2 linked regions of the Alligator mississippiensis genome follow. The main gene of each other region encodes a partner of the protein of the gene in region 2 in a complex. Links are inferred from orthologs where the notes say so. Each region holds a gene or a part of one and is shown on either strand. Other genes may lie near its edges.

The links.
Region 1: the proteins of MUSK (region 2) and DOK7 are in contact, whole or in part, in a crystal structure (PDB 3ML4), measured with the Mus musculus proteins. The link is inferred for Alligator mississippiensis from reciprocal best matches to the Homo sapiens genes MUSK and DOK7. Residues at the interface, in NP_035074.2 of Mus musculus: Leu547, His548, Pro549, Asn550, Pro551, Met552, Tyr553, Gln554, Arg555; in NP_001335203.1 of Mus musculus: Leu154, Ser155, Asp156, Leu157, Arg158, Arg159, Tyr160, Gly161, Gly172, Thr173, Arg174, Ser193, Asp197, Val200, Arg201.

What each region holds. Positions count from the first base shown.
Region 1 is NC_081825.1:21,751,351-21,763,673, reverse strand, and holds the start of DOK7 (protein Dok-7), read right to left. Parts: upstream 5,631-12,323; 5' UTR 5,431-5,630; coding exon 5,377-5,430; intron 5,285-5,376; coding exon 5,239-5,284; intron 2,492-5,238; coding exon 2,261-2,491; intron 1-2,260. UniProt on the Homo sapiens protein: Probable muscle-intrinsic activator of MUSK that plays an essential role in neuromuscular synaptogenesis. Acts in aneural activation of MUSK and subsequent acetylcholine receptor (AchR) clustering in myotubes. Induces autophosphorylation of MUSK.
Region 2 is NC_081826.1:166,226,499-166,238,986, reverse strand, and holds the start of MUSK (muscle, skeletal receptor tyrosine-protein kinase), read right to left. Parts: upstream 6,353-12,488; 5' UTR 6,079-6,352; coding exon 6,000-6,078; intron 1,723-5,999; coding exon 1,596-1,722; intron 1-1,595.

The sequences.
Region 1 (12,323 bases), on a different chromosome or scaffold from region 2:
TCTCCCCATAGCTTTGTGTCATCTGCAGACTTGGACAGAGTACATTTCACTCCCTCGTCCAAGTCGCTGATGAAGACATTAAAGAGTATCGGTCCAAGGACCGAACCCTGCGGGACCCCACTGCCCACACCCTTCCAGGTCGAAACCGACCCATCCACCACGACTTTCTGGGTGCGACCCTCTAGCCAATTCACCACCCACCAGACTGTGTAGTCATCCAAGTCACAGCCTCTTAACTTGTTCACCAGTATGGGGTGGGATACCGTATCGAAGGCCTTCCTGAAGTCTAAGTATACGACATCCACCCCTCCTCCTGTGTCCAGGCGTTTCGTAACCTGGTCATAAAAAGAGACTAGATTGGTCAGGCACGATCTGCCTGCTACAAACCCGTGCTGGTTTCCCCTCAGCAGAATTTGTCCTGCCGGGCTCTCGCAAATGTGAGCCTTGATAATTTTTTTTGCTCTGTTACTTAGTGCACTCCCTTTAGGATTCCCAATTTCTCTTAATTCTACAAATTTATTTTCTAACCTCAGCTCATCCTATGAGCTCCAGTCCATCGAGGTCCTGTTATCACTGTCCTGTTGCTCACATTCTCATCTCTCAGCCCCCTCAAATTTATAACTGATTTCCTTAATTCCACTGTCTCTGCTCTGCTTGACTCTTGCCCAGCTCTATTATCTAGCCCATGAACCATGTTGTACCGGCTCCTACTAAAGAAAACCAGCTCTCTCTATTTTAAATTTACTGCCCACCTCCATCCTTGCACAATAGTGCCACTTCTCATCCCTAAATCACATCCAATATCTACCTCCCAATACACTGTAACTGCCTCAAGCCCTTGACCTTCGTTCTTCTTCCCTCTCAGCCCGGAATCTCCCTAACTTCAAGAAGACTGCCAAGATTTAGTGCGAATTGCCTCTATCCCTTCTCATTTTCCCCACCTTCCAGTATCTTTTTCTCTTTTATATCAGTTAAAACAGTGGTTGTTAAGCTTTTTAGAGTCAAGATACCCCATTGAAAATGCCAGCTCTTATTTTTCACTCGGTTTGTAACAACAGAAAAATAATACAGCAATTCTTCTGTTGCAGAGAACTCAGAAGGACCACAACAGGGCAGAATGTTTTGAACCTACTGATTCCTATTTGAAATCCCTGGGTACAACTTGTGAATCATGTTTGCTCACCTAACAATGCTAATATTGCATAGCATCCCACAGCACCCCTAAAAGGATCTCAAGGCACCCCAAGATACTACAGCACCCTGACTGAAAATCACTGCAGTAGAGTCATATCAAGAAACCTACCAAACTCTGCTGACTGCACTTTCCTAAAGGTCTCTTATTGTGCTTAAATCTTATTTTCACCTATCCTCAAAGTTTCTCAGGAAAGGGCTGCATTTCTATTTATACTGTGTTTAGCAAAAGCCCATTACCATTAACAGATACATTATATATAAATAGATTACTATCATCATGATCATCAGCAATAATAAATGTCTGTCATCCTAAACTTTGCAATATACTAAAATCCAAATACTCTGGATTATCTCTATGAGAACACTATTACTACTTTTTGGTCACAACAACACAAGTTAGAATCACAGAACAGAAAATTAAGGACACCTAGAAGTTAAGAGGAAAAGGTATTTCCAAGAATGGTATCTTTTCTGTGGGATTTTGCTATTATATGGATACAAGAGCAGATGTTACCAGAGCAGCACACTCTACAGACTGGACAGGGAACTGGGAGCTAAAACCTTAGAAACCAGGGATAAAAGGGACCTCAAGAATTCAACTAGTCTGTCTCCTTGTCACAAGGAAAGATCAAGTGTAACTAATTTAGCCACTCTCAAATTCTAATCATGGCTCTGCCTTTTAGAGTTCTTGACCTCTCTGAGCCCATGGACTCATAATAAATCCAAAAACTAATGACACAAGTAATTTATAACTCTCACAGCTACTTGAAAGGGTAGGAATAAAACTCTGGCCTTTTAACCGATGCTTTCACTATCTGACCCAAATGTAACAGTAAAACCCAACTGCCAGTACTAATATGTACCTACTAGTGAGACACTCCTAGTATACAGTATCACCCATATGACCTACTGCCCGTGGCACCTAATCTGGGTCTTGTGGAAAAGGTCTTTTTACTCTGGGACCAGCAATAATCTTCTCCTGAACTGTACCCAGATTTTTGTATGTCAGCTCTGATTTAGTTTGGTTTTTCCAAGAGGGGAAAAAAAAGTAGAAGACAAAGTTTACCTTCTCCCAAACTGTAGCGGATCCGGACATCCCACGCATACATAGTTTCCTTGTTTTCAAATCCCAGCATCACAACTTGAGACAGACAGATGATGGCAAGTGTGTGATTCAAGCCCTCATAGGAGAGCCCAGGATCCAGGCCACAGATGTCCTCCAAGGTCACACTACTCCTCTCCTTATGCCCTTTCACTCTCTCAGATTTATCCTTGTACACCAACATGAGTAAGCAATCTGAAAGAAGCAACATTGTCAGAAAACATGAAGCAGAACAGCTATAATTCTCAGGACTCAGCTTCAACAGTTAATGCTTTTGGCAACAGCATGGTTGCAGTCTGAGCTCACCTTTTTAAGGTACATTTCTAACACCTGTTTAAATAAAGAAAGCTTGACGATATATCTCAAGTCTAACTTACAGGCTCAGAAATAAGAAGGCAATTAAAAAGATCTCCAAACTGGTCATTTGCTTTCAAAATCTAATCATTTGTGAGACAACCTGATAATTTGGGGGGCTTGACTTGTGATTTTTGAATGTTTCCAGTTGGCATTACTGTAATGTAAGCTTTTACTTCAGGAAGGCTAGAGTTAGCAGTATTGTCAAATCCTCTTCCTGTAGAAGGCAGCGAACCTGAATGAACTTCTTATAGTAGTTCCCAGATTACTCAACTATTAAATGGTGAATGGACTATATTGCCAGAAAGGCTGTTGGTCTCAGCTCAGGTCACCTCGTAAAATATTCCGCAGGGTATATTACTGCGTAATCATTATGTGCTGTGCACCTTTATTTGCTCTCTATTCAGTCGCAGTCGCCATTTTTTTAACCCATTCCTAAAGTTTATTTATTGCTTCATAACTAGGCAAAGCGATGAAACTATCACAGCATGAGGGGTGCGCTGGAGGCAAGCTTTTCACAGCTATCCAGATCAATAAGGAAAAGCACCACGGGTTGTATCCTTCTTTGATACAGCAAGGACACCAGTTCCACACAGGCTGCAGCTCCCCTTCTCACCCTGTTGTGCTCCGTACAGAGGGAAATAAATGCAAAAAGCTCAAGCCAAGACTTTTCCCCTGTAACTTCCATTGCTCACACCTAGTCCCAAGCTACAGACAAGGCAGCTGCCCGTGTTCCATTTGATGAATGTTAGGTGGGGCACTCCGAGGCCTGGCAAGCTGCCAATATGGCTCACATTTGGGCAAAGCATGGGCACCCCTCCAAAGAGGTGAAAAACAACTGAAAAATGCACTGTACGTTAATTAAAGGGAAACTTTGCAGACATGCTGGATTGTAATATTGCACCTGTTACCAGAAACAGCTGCAAATACAAAGTTTAAGGGTGCTTTTTTAGACACACATTGCATAGCCCCAAGACACTTAAAGGAACAGCACGCTGATTTTAGACAAAAACGCTCAATTTTGCTATAATAAATTCCATTTGAAAGTAGAATAAGTTTCACAGAGTAACAATATGCAGGGTTTGGAAGAATCAAGGTTTCAAATTTGGGTTCAAGAAGTTGGGATGCAGATGAGTAAATATCAATGTTAGGAACTCCCGTCTTTACAAACCATAGACTCGATCAGCAGAGGTATTGAGGATACTGAATATTTAACACTTCCAATTATGCAAAATTAATCCTACACCAAAGTAACAGAGAAATATAAATCTACATCTGAACATAGAAGTAATTAATCACGATTCTAACATCCGTTTTTAGGTAAAGCAGACTCACAAAACATATACATAGGAGATAAAACCAGGAATAGAGCTAGAAGTAATTTTCTGTGCAACATTTCCCCACAGGAAAACTTTGGATGTGCTGTCAAAACTTCAATCCTCCATAGGAAAATATCATTTCTGAGGAAAAATTTCAAATTTCTATCCAGGAAACATGGAAAGGAAATTGTTTGTTTCAGTTTAACTTACAGTATTTTAGTTGGGTCTTTTTAAAAAACTGAACTGACTTGATATTTAATGTCAATATGTTGATTAAATACTACCCCAGGTCCAACTACTACTAGTACTATGAGTGGATTCAATAAAAAAAATCACGCAACTTAAAAAAAGGGCAAGCTTTACAAACAAACAAAAATAGACTAAAATGCCATTTTGGCATAAACTAAAAAATAACAGTTGCTTTGAAATGCAAGTTTTAAGCAAGAAAACACTGGTATTTGGAAGTCGGTTCACAACGAGTGATATAAAAGAAATATTTTTGTAATTGCAATGTGGATTTTTTTTAATGTCATATGTAATGTCCACCCCCCCAACCCCATTGAGCTGCACCCGACCTCAGCCTCCACATCTATTGCAAGCAGGGGGGGAGCCCTGTGGCTGAGGGGCAGCCTTAGAGCAGCCGGGCGCCTGTGACCAGCTTTGGACTTAACGAATGCAGACTTTTTGCCAACTTTGCTGACAGCTTCCCATGGGCACTGCCAGGGGGTCAAGGCCAGGGCTGAGGCCACACCGATGGCCGTATTCGGGGTCAGGACAGGATTTCCCTCCCTGGTGAGAAGTGTGGGGGCTGGGGGGGGGTTCTATACTGGGCCTGACCCTCTCTCCGGGAGCCTGCAGTGACAACAGGGGCGACACCGCCAGGGGGTCGGGGCCAGGGCTGAGGCTGCACCGACGGCCGTGTTAGGGGTCAGGACACATCCCGCACGGTGAGAAGTGTCAGGGCTGGGGGGTTTCTGTTGCGGGGCCTGACCCCGTTTCCCCGTAGTGACAACAGGGGGACGGGCGACGCTGCCAGGAGTGGGGGCCAGGGCCGAGGCCGCGCCGATGGCCATGTGAGGGGTGAGCACCGATGCCCCCTGGTTTCTGCCTCGGGGGCCCGTACTGACACCGGGTCCCAGAGGCAGGAGGTGGCTCCCCGGGTCCCCCGCGGGCTGGCAGGCCGGGGGGCGCTTCCAGCCCGACTCCGCCACGGCGGTCGGGTCAGGGCCGGCCCCACGCCCCCACGCGGGCCCCGCGCGCCGCCCTTACCTGCCACGGGCGAGGGCTTGCGCAGCACCAGCCACCTGCTCTTCCACTGCAACGAGAGCACAGAGTTAGCCCGGGACGGGACTGGGGGGACGGGGCGGGGCGGGGGGGGGGATCCCTGGGGAGAGGCAAAGCGGGGACCTTTTTTCCATCCCTCCAGCGGACGTGCCCCTCCACCACCACGGCATCCGTCATCTTCAGGCATGGTTCCCCTCCCCGCCCGCCGGGGTCACTGCCAGCGCGCCCGGCCCGGGGCTGCCGCCGCCCCGCGCAATGGCTGCGGCCCGGCCCGGCCCGGCCCCCGGCGCTGGGGGGGGGAGGCTCCGCTGCCGCCTCCCGGGCGCCGCTGGGGGCTCGCGCTGCCCCGGGCCGCGGGGGGGTGGGGTGGGGTGGGGCGGGACCCCCGGGGAAGCGGCGGTTTGTGGGGAGGGGTTGTTAACTTCTTGATGACGTCGGCATCGGTCGGAGTCACGTGCGAGGTGTGCCGCCGGGCCCGGCGCGCGGCGGGAGCCGGTGTCAGCGGCCACTTGTGCGGCGGCCGCGGGGGGCGAGGGCGCTCCGCAGACCGCGCTCTTGCCGCGGCCGTGCCGCCTTGCGGGCAGGCTCCCGAAAGCGGGAAGAAACGGGTGAGCAGCCCCCGGTTTACTTCACGCCTGGGACGCAGGGCTGGCTGCAAGGGGCCGGGCGCTTGGTCAGGCAGGATCCTCTGTCCAGTCTGCCCTTGAAAATGCCCACGACTTGCCCACAGGCCTCTGGGGAGCGGGGTTCAGGATACACCAGGTAGCCAGCCTGCGTGCTAGGTGTTGGGTCCCAACCCTTTTTTGCACTTTGTTCACATCGATGGCCAGTGCCAGCCCAATAGATAAGTAGAAAACAGCCTCCCGCCCGGCCAGTGCCAGTCGCTCCAGACCCGCTGCCCCCATGGATGACCACAACAACTGGACCAGTGCTGCTGGTGCGTCTCACTCCCGCCCTGCTGCCCCACCGCCCGACACGGCCTCCCAGTGTGTGGGGCAAGGGGGACCTGTGGGGCCTGGCAGCCACGTGCCACTCCCAGGTTTGTGCTCCCACAGCAGGCACGGGCTGCAGCCTGGCCCAATGCGGGAGAGCAGAGCAGGGCGGCAAGATTTGTTGCTGCCACCACTGCTGCTGGGACTCCCACGCCAGCCGTGCTGCCAGCAGCACGAGGAGTAATGTGGTGGGCGCTGCCCCCATCTTCTCCTGCCACCAGCCATTTGTGCACTGGGCTTTGGCTCTACCCCACTGCCATGAGCCAGCCACCACTGCTGCTTTCTTCTGCAGCAAATGGAAAACCCAGATTCCTGTTTATTAATATGCACAGAATTAACAAATGGTGAAGCACCAGTAGCATGTAAAATATGCTCCATTTTTCAAATTTATTCATAATCTTTTCATAATATTCTTGCAACCCGCTTTGAGAAACGCTGTGTTAAAGCACAAAGGCAGAAATGGTTGGTAGGTTTGACAGGATCCCAGGGCACCCCCCGGTTCCACCGCACTGACTGCGAATCACTGCCTTAGAGCAGCCACAGGTCCAAAGTCCGACAGAGCCAGATTTGAGTAATGGCGTGTGCCAGAGCCTCAAACCCAAACACCCAGAAAGGATCCACTACAACAGAGAAGTCCAGGTGTAACTAAGCACTTGGTAACTGCATTGGTTTCATTGAAGCCCTTGTGTATATAAAACAGTACATTTGATTTTCTGGTTTGTTTGCTGGATGGAAAACTTGGAACTGAACACTGTAATTTGCACAAATTTTCTGTTCTTTTTATGCTGAAGACCAGACTAAAAGACAATAGAGAGGCAGTTAGGGTTAGTCTGAAGTCAGATAAGAGCAGAGCCGGCCTTAAGGGCACCCTGGTTGGGGGGGTGCCACACACACACACAAACACACACGTGGGCAGCCCACACTCACAGAAGCACTATCTCCCCATCCCTCCCAAGCAGATCCCCACCCCAGGCAAGAGGAATGGTGCCCAGCCCACCTCTCACCTCCAGCGGCTGCTTAGGAGGAGCTGGAACGGGCAGCATGGGTGGCAGCAGTGGTGCCTGCCTGCCTGGCACACCATGCTGCTCCACCTCCTCGCTGGACTGCATCCAGCGCTTCTGCCTGCCTGCCTCTGCCCATGGGGGGAGAGGTGGCAGCAGGGACGGGACGCCAAAATACAAGCTCGCCCAGAGTGCCATTTTCCCTAAAGCCTGCTCTGGGCAAGAGGCAGGGTAGATATGCACACTGCAGATTAACTAAATCAGAGATGTATAAGTTTTTGTAAGCGGCTGATCACCGCATCTGATTAAGTAAGCTGTTGCTTATGAAACCTTCTGATTTAGTTAATCTATAAGCTACAAGTCTACCCTGCTTTCCAGAAGACAATAATTAGGATGATCCCATAATTCTAATATTATAAAAGCCTTAGTCTGTCTGTCTGTCTGTCCATAACGCTTTATGCGTGCTCTGATTGGCTGATGGAAACATCCCAGCAAAGTGTGAATGCAGCATTCAAACAGGAGGTGGTGGCGTGGAGGAGTGCCACCATGATGGTGGGGACACGGGATGGAGCAGGGGAGGGCAAGGCCAGCCCTGCTCCCTGGAGGTGACAGCAATGGAGCAGACAGCAGAGCACCCTCCTTGCTCCTTTGAGGTGGCACCACTGGCCTCGCCCCCTCTCTGTCCTGCACTGCTCCCTCCCAACATGGCGGGGGAGCAGCAGACCCGGGCCAATGCGGCGGGGGTGAGGGAGCCTGGCCTGGCCCTGAAACAGAGGTGGGAAGGATGAGGGGGCACGGGCCTGGCCTCAAAATGGAGGATGGGGGGGTGGAGCTGGGCCATGCAATGGCAGCAGGGAGGGTGAGAGGACCAGACCCAGCCCCTGGCAGAGTGGGGCAAAGGGGGAGTGGCCCCCTCCCCCCTGCTCCATGGAGGAGGTGGTGGCACGAGGGGGGAATGGGGGTGGGGCCGCCACGGCGATGGGGGACAGGGGAAGCGGCCCTAAACCCAAACTGCTGGGGGGGAATGGGATCAGGCCCGAAGCGATGGGGGGGATGCTGGAAAACAAATTGGGGGGGTGGGGACAAGGGGAGTGGGAGTACAGGACCGGATGCTGGGCTCTGTCCCCAGCAGCCCCCTGGGTGGGGGTGGAGGGAGTGGCCCCGGCCCCAAAGCGGCAGGGTCGAGGGTGGGGGGAGTGAGCCTGGCCCAGGGCCTCTATCCCCACCCACCCCCCAGTCGGCAACAGAGTGAATGGGCTGGTGGCACTGGCCCCGCCCCCCTGCAGCAAGGCCAGCACTGCTGGCCCCGGCCCCCCAACCCTGCAGGTGACAGTGACAGAGCAGATAGAGGGGTGGCAGGGCCAGCAGCGCTGGCCTTCTCCCTCCTGCTCCCTGCAGGCCACGAAAACGGAGAGGACAGGGGGCAGGGCAAGGCCAGAGTCACTGGCCAGGCCCCCCAGTATTGCAGGTAGCAGCAACAGAGCAGACGAGGGAGGCAGCCTGGCCCCGGCCCTGAAGTGGCCAGTGGGGGGAGGGGAACGGCCTGGTCCTGAAGGCTGGGGGGAGGAGCAGTGCCAGATGCAGGCCGCTGTCCCTGGCCGCTTCCCCCCCCCCCCCCCCAATCATTTTTGATCAGCAGTTGGCTAGTGTATAACTAAAGACATACATTATATCATGAGTTGGCAAGGTTTTTATACTGATAACCAGCTTGCACTGTCACCTCCACACTTCCAAACTTTGTCAAATTAATTTCATTGGGGAACTAAAGCTTCTTATGCTCCTGCTGAATTTGGAGGTGATTTTTTGGTGGAAAGTCTAAGCAGACGTATTAATGTAGGAGGTGATGTGCGTGGCAGCCTGCAAATACTATCTTAATTATTTACAGAGGAGGAGATTTTTGAAAGGTACAAAATAGCAGTTTAAACACCTAACTAACTTGGGAGTCAGTTTAAGTAGTTAAGTGTCATTTGTGCTTCTGAATAAGGCCCCCATCAATCCCCTACCCCCCCCCCCCCCGGCCCCAAAAAAACATGCTAGGTACTTTAAATTCTTAGGAGGAGACATGAGGGAAGCAAATCTCAAAGAGCTTAATATGCTCAAATTGGACAAAATAATCTCCATCCCAAGGTACTGTGAAAGAATTGTCACATGAAATTGCTAGTCTGGTAACAAACATTTTCAATACGCTGACAAATCAGGGGTGGCACTGAACCACAAGAGAACAGTAAATTTAGTAGCTATACTTAAGAAAGGGGGGAAAAGTGATTTGGGCAACCCCACCCCTGTTACTCTGACCTCTCAAGCAAGCTTTACAACAAAGTTCAAAGGAAGGGAAATTAATATAGAGGTAAATGGAAAATGTGATGAACGTGAGGTTACCAAAAGTAAACGGTACCAGATTAACCCAAGATCTTTCATTATTATGGAAAATTATTAGTTAAAATGAGGAAGATGGAAAATCAGTACCAGAACTGTAACCTGGGTGAGGAACTGGCAAAGAGGAAACTAATGGCAGGTTGAGCCAAAAAGAAAACTTGCCAGGCTGGAGGGAAACTTCTAGAGATGCTCCTTAAGAATTGTTCTTGAAAATTATCTTACTTAATAGTTTTATTAATAACCTTGGCACTAAATGCTGCTGTGATGATGAAAACGGGAGGGAGGGGCATTTTCAATACAAAGGAAATTGAGAATATGTTATAAAAATGGATGACCCTAATAACTGCAGAAACAGAAAATGAGTGGCATGTAATCATTCAACAAGGTACTACTAACAAGAATTTCTAGCATAATCTAAAGCAAGGAAGGGCAAAATAGGGCCTGTGTGCCAAATCTGGACTGTGGAGGGATTTTGTCTGGCCTGCAGCTTGTCCTTCGGCAGGTCCCTCCCAGCTCAGGATGCCCCACAGCGCTAGACATGCCTGTCAAGAGAATGAAGGTAGCTGCTGGCTTCGGAGTCACAGCTCCAGCACCAAGACAGCCACTACTGCCCCGGCGATCAAAGGGAGTATCAGTGCCTGACAGACAGCAGGACAAGACCTTGCGCCAGGCACCACGGGACAGGAGCCCAGCAGTGACTGGCTGCATTCATGGAGCTGCTATTCCCAATCATCCATACTGTGTGGCATCTACAGCACACCCCCTTTGGCTACCACCCGGCACTTGCCACCTGACGTGCCCCACGCAGCCCTGCCCAGCTCCTCCACCTCCCAAGCCTCAACATGGTGCCAAGCTCTGCTTCCACCCAGCCAGCCCTTTGTTGCCATCCCCTGCTCATTCTAGCCACACCCAGGGTTGCAAATGGCTGCAAAAGCCCACATAGGTCTCCCTCCCAGAGCCATTCAGACTAGGCTAATGCTAGCCTAGCATCAGCTGAGATAATGCTCAGCACCAGGAGTCAGGGAATCCACAGAAAGAGCCTGATCCCCTGCCAGGACTGCAAAGTTGGCAGGAGCCCTTTGCATTCTGCTGGCTCTGGGGCCCTTCAGCTCCCAACACCTAGTCCCATCAACCACGAAATTGCCGCTTACTGTTTGGGTTCTGCGGGCTGCCGCCTCTTAGCCAGGAATCCCAGCCCTGCCTGCCGGTCTGTGGCCCTGTCATGACCAAGCATGAAACAGAGCCAAAATCTGCTCCCTGCACGCCCCTCCAATGGGCACTGGTTTCATAGGCAGGAATGTGCGGCGAGCACAGCTCTGCCCTGGGCCGTGGCCCGTGAAATTGGTGCCTGTCACAAGGACATGTTAGGAACAGATTGTGACTGCTCTGCGTTCAGCCATGATGGGGCTGCAGATGGGCAGGGAGTGGTATCCAAGAGCGAGATGGGCATACAGGGCCGAGGCTGGAATCCCTGGCTAAGTGGCAGCAGCCCACAGAACCCAAACAGTAAGTGGCAGCCAGGACCCACGTGGGCAGGGCATGGGCAGATGGATGGAATCAGCTGTTTAGGGCATTTTGGTGAGCCGTTATGGGGTGCAGGTGCTTTCCCAGCCCATGACAGCTCGTCAAAACTCCTTATGTGGCCTGTGGGCCCAAGTAATTGTCCACTTTTGATCTAACAGCTGATCAGTTGGAAATGACAGAGAAAGTAAAAGATCTGATTGTATTAACTGATCACAAGATCAATTAATTTTGAGCCACCAATGTAATGCAGCCTTGCAAAAGCAAAAGTGATCCTAGGATTTATCATGCAACTTATTTCCATTAGAGAGATAAGTATTACCTTCTTTATATAAGGCCTTGGAATACAATGGAGTCATAACTGCATAAACACACCTTCCCCAAATAGACAAGAACTCAACATTCCTGCATGGAAACTTTAAAAATGGCATTAAACAAATTACTGATGACTCAAGACAAAAAAACCAAAGATACAATCCTCTCTTCCTTACAAAGGATCTACCATAACATAATGAAGAGGAAAAGCCCACTTAATTTTAACCGCTGGCAGCTACAATTAATAAACTAAGTTATGCTACTGATTTTCTTAGATTTAGTTCAATAATCAGTGTATTAATTAGGGTCTATTATACACTACATGGTTAGCAGACAGAATTTAAGTTCTGCTGACAAAACTAGACGTGTCCATACTCATAGTTCGTTCCCCTGTGGCCACAGAAACCCTTCCTTCTGATGGCGGAGCAACACCAGCCTCACAAACATCAGGTTTCTGCTGCCACTCAGCCCACTGAGAGAAGGCACTGGCTGGGCCCAGGGGGTGCAGCAGTGCAGTTGCATTCCTCCTTCTATTGTGCCACACATGAGCTCTTGGCATGGCATCTGACTGGAGTGCCTGCTTTCATGGGCAAATATTGAACAATTTACAACACTCATCTTGCTTAAATATTTGCATTTTTATACCGGTACAAAATTATATTTCTTGGATGGGAGGATTTCCATACAAAGTATCCTTCTGATTTAAAAAAAAAAAAAAAAAATTCCTGGATCTAAGAAACCCATTCTAGTACTGTCAGAACCATCAAACTGAATATGAAATAGATTATTTTTATGGTCAATAACATGCATATATCCAATCACCATGTTAAAGTTCCAGATTATGAAAAACATCCTTGCTAGAAAC
Region 2 (12,488 bases):
GGTAGATTTACACCTAATTAAATCAGAGCTGTACTGTATAAGCATAAGCTTTTGTCAGCCCAAGATTACCCTGCCTTTTAATTTAATGTGCAAATTCTGCAATAAAGTAGCTCTCATTGCTACTATGCAAAGTTTATTATAATTTTCCAAAACAGAGAGACCCAAACAAGGGTCCAGAATGTGAAAGAGAAAATGTAAAAGAATTTGCCAGATCCAAGATGCTTAGAAGTCAAGTGACTGTGTTTTACCTTTGTAAGAGGCTATCTTAAAAATGTAGGTATTGCAACAATACTACAATTCCCTACCTCCCTGAAATGAAATTCCTAATGCATATGAGTGCTTAGTTTGTTTGGGGGGGGTTTTAGATGATGTGGTAGTGGGTAATGAATGAGATTTGACAGTGTATAAGACGTTAAAAGCCATGTTTCAAATAATATTTTGTTTTGAAAAACCCCTTCTGTGAAAGGATTTCAAAATGCTTTTTAAACACAAAGTCTCAAAACACCAATTTACTTAGAGAAGTGTCAGCTCTCTCTTCTAAATGGGTAAAATGAATCAGCAACAGCACTTGTAGGCTTTTCTATCCCACATTAGAGGTCAGTCTCAAGGGTGATGGGACTGAGCATATTTTTCCCACATGAATCCAGTGACATGCTCCAGAGCCAGAAGTTTACCTATGCAGCTGCTTTACACTCATCTCCACTTCCTGCTCTATGAAGAGCAGTCACGGCACATTAAATTTAGTACTTTTATAATCAAGTACTGAATTAATGTTCAGTAACCAGAGTTACTGTGCAGTAGTGCTGGCGCATGTCTTTTTAGTGACGCTACTCTTTATCAGAAGAGGAAGTGTGTTAGTTCAGCCCGGCTCACCTAACATCTGTATAGATCGTGCACTTTCGTGGGGTTTTTTAGTGCTTTTATTTAATAGCTAATTGAATCAGCTTTAAATAAAAACACCAAAAAGCCCCGCTGAAGCGCCCAGTCTATATAGATGCTGGGGAGCTGCTTTGAACTAACACACTTCCTCTTCCAGCCAAGTGCTGTTTTGTTTTCTTTTGTTTTTTCACATCTGTCAGTGCCCCAAGTTTTGATTTGACTCTTCATTCATCTGACATCCCTGAACTGCTGCCTTATGTGTCCAAGCTGGCTAAGGAAGCCCCCAAGATGCACTACACCTTCTCTGATGTACTGTGGTCACCTATTCCATGTTGAACCCTGCTGGTTCAACCAGAGGGAGACCCAGGTGCATCATACCAGATGTAGTTTTGCCAACAAGCCTGGTCAACAGAGTAGAACTGGGATATGAAGCACCACAGCAATTCAGGCATACACAGACACATTTTGAACTGACATGAAACAGATCGTTTCAGTTTGGATCAAAAAAACTGCAAAGGAAAATTTTTCTTTAGATTTTCCTGATAGAAAATTGAAAAAGTCTAGCAAAATCTCTTTGTATATATATATAAATGCTGTATTTTCCACTGTGGGGAAAATAAAAGTTTTTGATGGAAAACTGCCAACCAGGCCCAGCACATAGGTTATGGACAAAGGTGTGCTTATATTATAAACCTTCCTCAGGTTTGCAGTCTTACCTGATGGGAATGTTATTACGTGTCCAGGTAATCTCTGGCTCAGGATAGGATTCTACCACACACATGAATTTGGCAACTTCTTCTACTAATGCATCTACTGTTTCCGGAGGAGTGGTAATAAGGGGAGCTGGAATTTAAAGAAAAAGAAAACATGCTCTTTCAGTGCTGGGTCTCTTGTGAGAAAAAACTGCTAATGGTATCAAATTACCAAGGACATTTACAAGCATAAAGAAAAGCCACATTCCCTGCAGGGTCACCACCGGATAACTCCCTTGAAAATTCAGGAATGTACATTGTACCCCCTCCATTAGCTCAATTTAACTGAGGTCCCCATGAGCATTTGTTTTTTGCAGTGTCCCAATTCTTATATCATGTTTTTCCTTATACTTTCCATATATAGCATGGAATTACTTCAATCCTTAAGTGATATGTAGAGTCACAATTTGGACCTTACCTCCCTTTCCATGACAATTCAGCTACATTGAGAGGATACAGCCAAGGCGCTATCCGCGTGCACATAATGTGCTCTCTTTCATGGACTGGTAATGTGAGTAGTCTGTACATGGAAGCAAGGAAACTCCTTTTTCTCTCTGTCTTTGTAAATTACCTCACTACTGATGAATATCATGTGAGATCCAGTTATCCCTGTTGTTAGTTTGACCTGATGAACTGCAAAGGTATTTTGATATTTTTTAAATAAAAATGTAATGCTATTATTTATATGAGGATCATTTCTAGATGTTCCTCATGTGTGGCAATAGCACAGAAACACAACCATTTGTTTCTTCTTTCTTTCATCAAGTAGCACTTGGTGTCATGCAAATAATAAATATCTTTTTTTTTTTTGTCACAGACCCACCACATACGAAATTCTGCTTTATCTTTGGAAAGGTATTTTCCACCCCTCTTGGTACAGGCTGATAAAAGATCAAAAGGCACTACTCATGTATGTCTGTTAGAGACATATATCCAGTGCTCATTGAACTGGATTTATTTGACAGCTGTGTATGTAGAAACTACGCTTATGCCTTCTCTGTGAAATGTGACAGTGCAGAAGGGACAAGAGAAATGGCACCAATCTTTACACAATTGACAAAAATTACCCTGCCCATCTGTACATTACCAAACAGACATGATCTGTTAACTGCAGAGATTCTTGGTATACTTTATGTCTCTTCACAGAAAAAACTTCATGCATTATATCTTCTGTCCTTTACCTAAGCAATCAACTTTAATTTTTCAGAGCTTTAAATATACCATTACAACTTTAAATACACCATTTTCATCTCACTAAATATCATAAGATAATGCAAAGCACTCTGGTACAGATTAATCAGATTATTTATATGGTATGACATGAACTTTGGGCTTAATTCTTCTATCACCTGTGTGGGTATAAAATTATGACTCCACTGGAGTTATGGAGTTGAACTGGAATAATATCTGTGGAACTGAGAAACAAATATGTTCCTTCATACTAATGACACCTTTCAAGTTCACATATTATTGTACACCATTGAAAATATTGAGATTTTGTACATTTGAAAATTCCACTATGGTAAATCTATGCCAATAAACTTTCTCTCCAATTTGACAGCGAGCTGCTAATAGACATCAGTACCTGTATTATTAATGTGAAAAGAGGGTCATATTTATAGAGCTGAAAGATCCCTAAGATCCTAAGGGTTATGTGCTAAAGTTAGCTAAAATATTGGGTCTGTATCTGGTTATTGCCTGGTAGCACTGCTTTAAAAGATCTAGGGCCTTAATTAATTACACGGTCAGAAATGTCTCCTTCAATGTTAGTAAATATTGCAACCAGGGTGAAGTGCATGCCCCACTTAAGTCCATGAGTGTTTTGCTTCTGGCTTCAGAGAAGTCAAGATTTCACCCCAGGGTCCTATGAAAACGTGTTATGAGAATGTGTATTATGTAGTGAAATGTTGCTCTGTCCATTTTAGAAATGACTGTTATTTTCTGAATCAAATGTTATGGCTAGGGTTTAGGGTTGTTGGTTGTAGACGTGTTGGTCTAAGGACATAAGCAGACAAGGTTCTTTGGGTAAATGTGATATCTTTTATAATACCAACTAAATAGTTGGAAAAATTGTTGTTTGCAAGCTTTCAGGTACAAACACCCTTCCTTAGGCACTGGGACAGTTTGTTGTTGCTTTGTGTGCTCTCCTGGCGGGAATGGAAGTCAGTATGCAAAATGCAGGTCTGTGAAAATGCAAATGCGTAGTATTTTCCCCCTTCTCCCCCACAACTACCTGTCTCACACCTATTGTCTCACAGAGCCTCTGAACCTCACTGCTACACATTTGCATTTTCACAGACCTGCATTTTGCATACTGGCTTCCATTCCAGCCAGGAGAGAACAGGATTGAGCCCTATCAAAGCTATGTTATATAGGAAGTACCATCCAAATTACTAATACAATTGTAAAAAGCAAAAGAAAACTTGCTAAGCCTCACCATTTTTAAGGGCCCTTTGTTCCTTTCTAAACCTTTAAAACAATAATATTAATACCTGGGTATATCCCATACTTACTGTCCTACCATTTTTTTTCTTTTCCTTTATTAAAATGCAGTGTTGGAGAAAAAGAGAAGATAAAGAAAGTATTATTTTTCTAGGATGACAGGAGAGAAGGGCCTCTTTCCAGGAAGTCATTGATGTGCTTGTGAGATCGAGTCACATGGGGGGCAAGCCACCATTTTGTTGCTGCTCAGAAAGAGAACCCAAAAATGGCGGTGACGGTGCTTATTTTAATGACCAATGTCTCAAAGCTAAAATATTGAGGAAAATTGAGAGAAAAAAACCCTCAAAATGCAGCTCATGCCACATTTCTAATTAGGCTGAGAAAAAAAATCATGGTGCATTAACACTGGACTAAAAAAAGAGCCCAGGTCTTTTGTATGTAATGGCACACCGCATAGGAACATATCCATGACGTTTTTAAGTAATGCTGTGACTTTATACATAATCACAAGACTTAGTTCTCCATCCCTAAGGCCACCGAGGTGCCATTTTCCTGAATGTCCACTGTAAATTCAGGAGGCATAAAAGGTGCTAAGACCACTCCTAAAAACTCTACTGTTTATTACTTCCTATGAGAAGACCATGAGTCTTGTTCTAACATCAGTCCATCAGCTAGTGGAAGATTGTTGTTATTTTTTTATTAAATTTTCTTTTTTTAAAGTGAAGAAGTGAAATGGAAAAATAAAGCTTTACCTCAGTGTTATTGATTTTTTGCAAATGGTACTCTTTCTCTAGTTAGGTATTTCCTTGGGGCCTGATCTTGGCAATGACAGTCCAGTTTTTCTGCAGAATCTAAAACAGCTACTGCCTTGTGGTCTTTCTAGCATACTTCGCTGTATTCATAAGTTTAATATGACAATTCACCTGAACATATAGCATCACACTTCCTTAAAAAGAAAATCCACTGAAAATGTTTCATTAAAATATACTTCTTTTCATTGCATGTTGCTATCAGAGATATCATATCTATTCCTATTTGTTTTCTCATTTGTAAAGTCTTATTTTGGTCTTCCAAAGGCTTTGCAGGCTTTGCAGGCTTTGCAAGCGGACAGTCTCCACTATTTGAGTTGGTGTTGCTGCTTGAACAAAAACACCTTTTGTCTAAATTCAGTATTTTTGTGAAGTAAGGAACTTGCAGTTCTTTGTATCAATCTGGGTACCAGTTACAAAAAATCAGCTAGACAAGAGCAGAGCTACTGGTAAAGTAGATAATGATCAGCTTCATGGGCCAAAATCAGTTACTTGTTCTTCCTAAGACGCTGAAAGCTATTGCCGGTACATTTTCATCCTGTCCTAATAAGATGAAATAAAACCCTTCACCCAACAGGCAGTAAGTGCTTGATGTGGTAAATCTTTAATTCCCACTGGAGGAAACTTGCATTTTTTAACAGATTTTTATAACTTCAGCCTCATATTGTCTTGAACTTGTGTGACTTCCATATGGAAAGGTAAAGGTACCTTTCATATAAACTATATAAATAACACACATATTGTATATAGGTTTATTATCATGCAACATGCATATATGTATATGTCAATTTATTTTAATTATATAGGTATTATATATATGCACATCTAGTAAATATATATGCATTAATATGTGCACACAGTGGCACTGAGTATTTTTTTTGTTTTCTGTGAGAATAAAACAACTGCCAGCATTAGATATAAATGCAGGATTATTTCATTGATCTCCTCTAAAGAACATAAAGAAATTCTATGACAGGTGAAAATGAAAACAGCGTATTTATACAGTTTCCGGAAATAAAACAACAGTCCCTATACAACACTTAAAAGACTTCAGCACCTTTATAAAAATGCCGTAAGTGACAAAAGCAATGAAAAGATGAAGGCTGTTTAAACAAACCTTTTGGAAGTTTTTCGGCTAAGCTGAAGGCCGCCAGGGTGAAGATATGTAAAAGTGGAATGTTTATTAAGTCTTTCATAGTTAATCCAGGAAAATGCCGGTTCCTTTAGGCAAAATGCACCAGGTTCCCTGCCTGTTTCATTTTAAACCGTGGTTTGTTACGAAGTTCCTCAGCTACTGACCGTCCCTGCTGCAGACTCTATAGGATCTAAGTATAATCAGGAATTCTCAGACTTGGCTACTGTGATGGACATGACCAGCTGGTGTACATCCACTTAGGTCAGTATGAAAACGTGGGGCTCGTGAAACAAGAGAAAGCAAATCCCTTTAGAATTCCTTTTAGGCAAATAGCATGCAACAAAACACAATGACTGAATGCCTTTCCTAAACAATAACCCAACCCAGAACAGCTCAGATCGAAAGGGCTTTACTCCAGCTCAAGGTAAATACACTCCTAGCACAAATATCTGTCACTGACACTATGGATTTTCTTTCAGGTTTGTACTTCTCCCCGTTTTTTTCTCTTTCTCTCTCTCTCCTCCCCACCCTGCTCTCCCCAGCCCCTTTCATTATAACCTTAGTGATTAGCTGGAATATACCACCTGTTCCCCTGCTGATAGCCTATCTTTTCTTTCCAAATATATTTGCTAGAGTAGGAGATGTTGGTATCAGTGAGCTGACAGCCAGTCTTGTTTACCAAGGAGATTGTCAGTTCTCAAGATTTGTTGCAGCAAACTGAAAAAGAAGAGTCATGTCCCGGAAATAAACCCTTGAGCGCACACAAGCTCTGGGAAAGCGAGAGCAATTGCCACACAGGGGAGTTTCTCAAGTTGTGCTCTGGCGAACGAAGTGTGGTTTGTTTTTTATCTCAGGAACAGCATAGGAAATTCAGGCAACAGTGGAGATGTTCATGCAGTGAAATAGTTATGTTAAATTTGGGCATTGCTATCTCAGGAACTTCTCATTTTTTGATAAGTCTCTTTAAAGTGAGCTATATAACATTGCAGCACATGGCCAAGGGGGCTTCAGAGGAACATCTAGTTGGAAGAGACTCCTGGCTCAAGTCCAGTCCCTTCCTATTTCAGGAAAGTGCAACATCCCCTTCACAATTTTGAACCCAGAATAGACATTTTTTCCCCACAGTTTTCATTATTTACTAATTTATAGGGATCCCAAGATAACCCCTGAAAAAAATGAAGCATCCAAGATGGGTAGCCACTTCTCACTGAGATGCCTAGATAATTATGTGACTTTTAAATGCCAAATAACCGGAATCCTTCCCCCTTCCCTTGCTTTGCATCCCAGCTGTAGACCAGGGGTCAGTTGTAGTGAAACTACTTATATGGCTAATCAAAAAAAGGAGATAAAGCCTAGTGGCACCTTTAGCTCTGAAACACCTTAGAGAACTAAAGGATTTTAAAGGGGCTACATATAGGAGGGCATTGAATGGGAGAAAGGGAAAGATCTCTGAGGATTAAGTGCAGAGCACAGTTAGTGGGGGAAATGTGAGCAGGAAAAAACAGAATACACCATGGGAAAAACTGAGGAGGAAAAGAGAGACCTAAGTTTCTATAGAGATTACACTAAGAACAATAAATTTCAATGGTGGATCTCATCCTTTCTGTAGCGGGAATATATTTTTTGGCTAAAAAACACTATGTACAAGTCACCATTTTTTCTTTAGTTCTATAAGAACCTTACCATAAAAGTAGACAGAAAAGGATACAGAGTGGGGGTGAGACTTAAAATTTAGGTACAGGCATTCAAAAAGCCCAATGAGGAATTGATCTAAGTTATGTGGTTTTCTATAAGTGGCATCATTTAGATTGATAGCAAACAGAACACATATTCACTCTTTTATTGAGGGGACAAATCTTAGATTGGGTTCTGCCGTTTTTAAACCACCCTGTGTGTGCTGAACTTCTTTTCTGCTATGGGTATAGACTGGTTTTGTGTGCCAGACTTCTGTTATGGGTATAAACCAGTTTCCAATCACTTATACTGGAGGCAGAATGCAGATAGAGAGGAAGAAGGTAGTCTGGGATGGATAGTGGGAGAGAGAAAATGTATGATCTCTAGAGATCTCTTCTCCATGAGAAATCTATGTTGCATTTGACAATTGCAAGGTATTCAAATATGTTATTGCCACTGTAAATAGTTTGTCTGCCTGCTGGTCTTCAGGGTGTTCTATATATGTTCACATACACATAGATACACACACATGTATGTTTGCATGTGTATGCATACATACACATATATTAATAAGCATGGCTTTTGAGGGTACCTGCAGTTTCTTCATATTGTTCTCTTTGAGAAGGAACAAAAGACATAATCAGGGGGCTTAGGAACTTGAAAAGGAGAGGAGAGGCCTTAGCAGGAGAAAGAAGACACAGAAGAAGTAGACTGGAAAGGTAAAGATGTCCCTGGAAGATAACTCCTGGAACTTTCAGTCACCAAAGATTATGCTCAGAACAGTTCAGTTGCAGTAGTACCACAGTTGCAGTAATACCACATTAGAAAGTATTTCCCACCAGGCACTAGCAGAGGATAAATCCCACTTGAGCATTAGCTTAAGGATTTTATTGGCAGATAGATCTTGTCCCAGCTCAGGAGTGAATTTCACCATTAGTACCTGCCATAAGTGGACAATGAAGGGGCTAAGGTGGTATGCTAGCCAGGGTGATGTCATACTTTGTCCAGATTGATTTATTGTTGAGCTCTTTGGAATTTCCTAAATATTGCATGCTGTATTTTTCAGCTTCAGCTGTGTATTAAGAGTAATTTATTCAATTAACATATGAAATTTAGTCTCCTACCAGGCAAGCAGGTAAAGATGCAATGGGATCAGATGTGGGTCACACATGCATGGCAGGAGGCTTGATTGTAGGATCATGCATCTGCTCCCATCATGCCTTATTGCCCATGTAAGGCATGATTATCATAGTAGCTAGGGTCAGAAGGGACCTAAACAGATCATCTAGTCCGCCCCCCTGCCTTGGGTGGAAACAGATGCTAGGGTCATCTGACCCCAGTCAGGTGTCTATCCAACCTCCTCTTAAAGACCCCCAAGGTAGGAGCAAGCACCACTTCCCTTGGATGTTGGTTCCAGGTCCTAGCTGCCCTAATCATAAAGTAATGCGTCCTGATGTCTAGCCTGGACCTGCTCTTTATCAACTTATGGCCATTATTCCTAGTTACCCTATGTGGTGCCCAGGGCATGATCGTGGGCATGATGATCCTGGGCTCCCCCTGCATCAGCAAGTAGTAAGGGCCCACAGCTGGGAGCCCCCTCAGCTGATGAAGCTCCCAGCCACGGGGACACATCATGAGTTCCTGTGGCTGGGAGCCCAGATCAGCTGCAGATTCCCAGCTGTGAGGGCACATAGTGCACCCTTGCAGCTGAGAGCCACATCAGCTAATGGGGCTCCCAGTCACAAGGGTAGTCTCTAATCTCACCTTTTTTATTTTAACTGACCTTGGCCACATGTTTGGTTAATGGTGTGATAGGAACCAGCCACACAGTTATTACATGCCTATTCCTCTTTTTATTTCACCATTAATTAATTGAATGTGTAGTTGGGTCACAACTTAAGACATGATTAACTGGTTAATCACATCTTAAGTTTAACGTGTGACAGGGGCCTCAGTGGAATGTCCTCTGAAGGGCACAGTATATGTCTGTATTTCAGAGAGACAGAAAAAGATACATGGGGCTGTGTTTCAGTACAACAATATTATTAGTGCTTGCTGGGCACTGCCATCATAATTATGAGTAAAATTCCCCTGATAAATCACTTTACTAAATTGGAGGTAAGCCAGGGAATACATGACAATTAAATTAATGTTAAAAATGTTACAAGAAGGCTGAAATTACATAATACTGATTATTATAACAACAACAGCACAATGATGATGCTGATGCTAATAATAATAATAATACGTTGGACAACCAAGAAATGCAAATTAAGGTGAATCATAAAAGAATAAAAGAAACACACATTTTTGGCAATCTGGTTGCCCCCTCTAGGATACCACCTTAGCCCCTTCATCGTCCTTTTATGGCAGGCTAATGGTGAAATTCACTCCTGGACTAGCTAGCACAAGGCCTATAAGCCAATGAAATCCTTAAACTAAAGCTCAAGTAGGATTTATGCTGGCTGTCTGCATGGGCTGAATTTCACCTTCTGGGCATTTCTATATCACCTCCATGTCATGCCTGGGATTATCACCACGGAATATGCCGCACCCACTCACTCCCACTCCATATGCATCACCTACCCAAAGTGATGGGAATGTAGCCATCTTTGAGCAGTGCTGAGCACACACCAGTCATCATGCCAGGGACAGTGTGCCCCAGACCGTGGCTTCAGCCCCACCCCAAGCCCATTACGTTGCCTCAACCCTGGCACGGAGGGATCCAGAGTGAACAAGTAGGTCGTGCTTCGTAGCAAAGTTCCTGCATGAAGCACACAGGCAGTATATATATATATATATATATATATATATATATATATGGAAGGTGAAATCTGCCATGTGCAGAGATCCAGCACAAAGCCCACACATCACTGAATTCTCCCTGGAGCTTTAATTTCATTGGATTTCATAGATTCATAGATGTTAGGGTCGGAAGGGACCTCAATAGATCATCGAGTCCGACCCCCTGCATAAGCAGGAAAGAGTGCTGGGTCTAGATGACCCCAGCTAGATACTCATCTAACCTCCTCTTGAAGACCCCCAGGGTAGGGGAGAGCACCACCTCCCTTGGGAGCCCATTCCAGACCTTGGCCACTCGAACTGTGAAGAAGATCTTCCTAATGTCCAGTCTAAATCTGCTGTCTGCTAGCTTGTGGCCATAATTAAATTTCATTTAATTCCATTGGTGGATAGATCTTGTACTAGCCTAGGAGTGAATTCCAACCTTAGTACCTGCTTATTAAGATTGTTTTCCTGAAAGCCTCAAAGAAGGCCAAAGCCACAAGCTTCAGACATCTGTTATTTGCCTAAACCTGTGCATTTTTAGAGTATGTGCACTACTGCTAGTCTCTAATCTCACCTTTTTTATTTTAATTAAGGTTTTTAAGAAGCTGGGCTATTTTAAAATGAAAGGAAATAGAGTGAACCTCTTACATCTGAATAGAAAGTAGGGCACATGTAAACCAGAGCACTGCTTTTGCATCTCTTGCATATTCCCTCTAGATACAAGTGTCAAATGTTGCTCATTATTAATTTCTACTGCTATTTACAGTAGCTTCTCAAGGATGACCAGCTGGGATTAAGGTACCATACTAAATGCTGTACAAAAGCACAGTAACTCCATACTACAATTGGGAGTGCCACCATAAGTTTGTTATGTGTAACCCAGTCTTTTCTGCTCCAAATTTGCCCAAGTGCCAAATGGGAGGCAATGTCAGGGGCAGATCCAGGGGGGAAGCAGTGGTAAAGTCACACCCCCCTCCTTTGATTCCTGGGCCTCCCAAATTTTAAAACTGGTTGTCTGGCAGCAGCATTCCTATTCAGGCAGCAGTTAGGGAATCATTTGTCTTCATGGCTCATTATAATCACTCCTTCCTTCTGAACTCTTTATTCCACAGGTGTTAACAACCCTCTCTCCTTTTCAGTGCCCTTGATGTTCCACTTATCAAGCTATTCTTTCTTCTGCAGTTCTGCTAATTGGTAGCTGTTCCTGGTAATATACCTCCTGCAGACTGTTTTAAACTTTAGCTAAAAACATTAACTCAGGTGTGGAAATGTTAACTCAGGTGAGCATTAACTCAGGTGTGGAAATAACCTTCAGTTAAGTATTGGATGCACTGGCAAGATGCTCAAGAAGCCTAGGTTTTGTTCTATAAAGCTGAAAAGAGATGTACAGGGTCTTCATAAAGTCCTTGTGCACTTTTAAACTTTAATATCTTAGGTTGTAGGTATGATAGAAACACTCTGTAAACAGCATTTAAAAGCAAATGTATTATAGTTTTAGGACAACTGGAGTACACAATGCTAGACTTCATAAGTAATAATGAATTTATTCTTATTTCAGATCCTTTGACAAATGAAAAATGGCTACTGTAGACGAGAAGGTAAACTGTGTCCTATGGCTAGCAGAATTGAATTCCATATCAGCTGTGAAAAGAAAGTGGTGGTTATGTTGAAGTCTAGTATTGTGTACTCTAGTTGTCCTAAAACTTTAATAAATTTGATTTTAAATGCCATTTACAGATTGTTTCTATCATACCTACAACCTAAGTTATTAAAGTTTAAAAGTGCACAATGATTTTATGAAGACCCTGTATATTTCATTCTAATGACTACAAGAGTAATGACACAACATATTTTAATTACTTTTGCCTATTTTGTTGTGTTTTTTGCACACAATATATGACATAGCATATGCTTTATAGCCCATAAAGATACACTTGCTTTTACTTTGACCTTAAACTGGAGAATATAGAACAAGCCCCTTAGCATATTCGTAAAGCTTCTAGTTTCTTT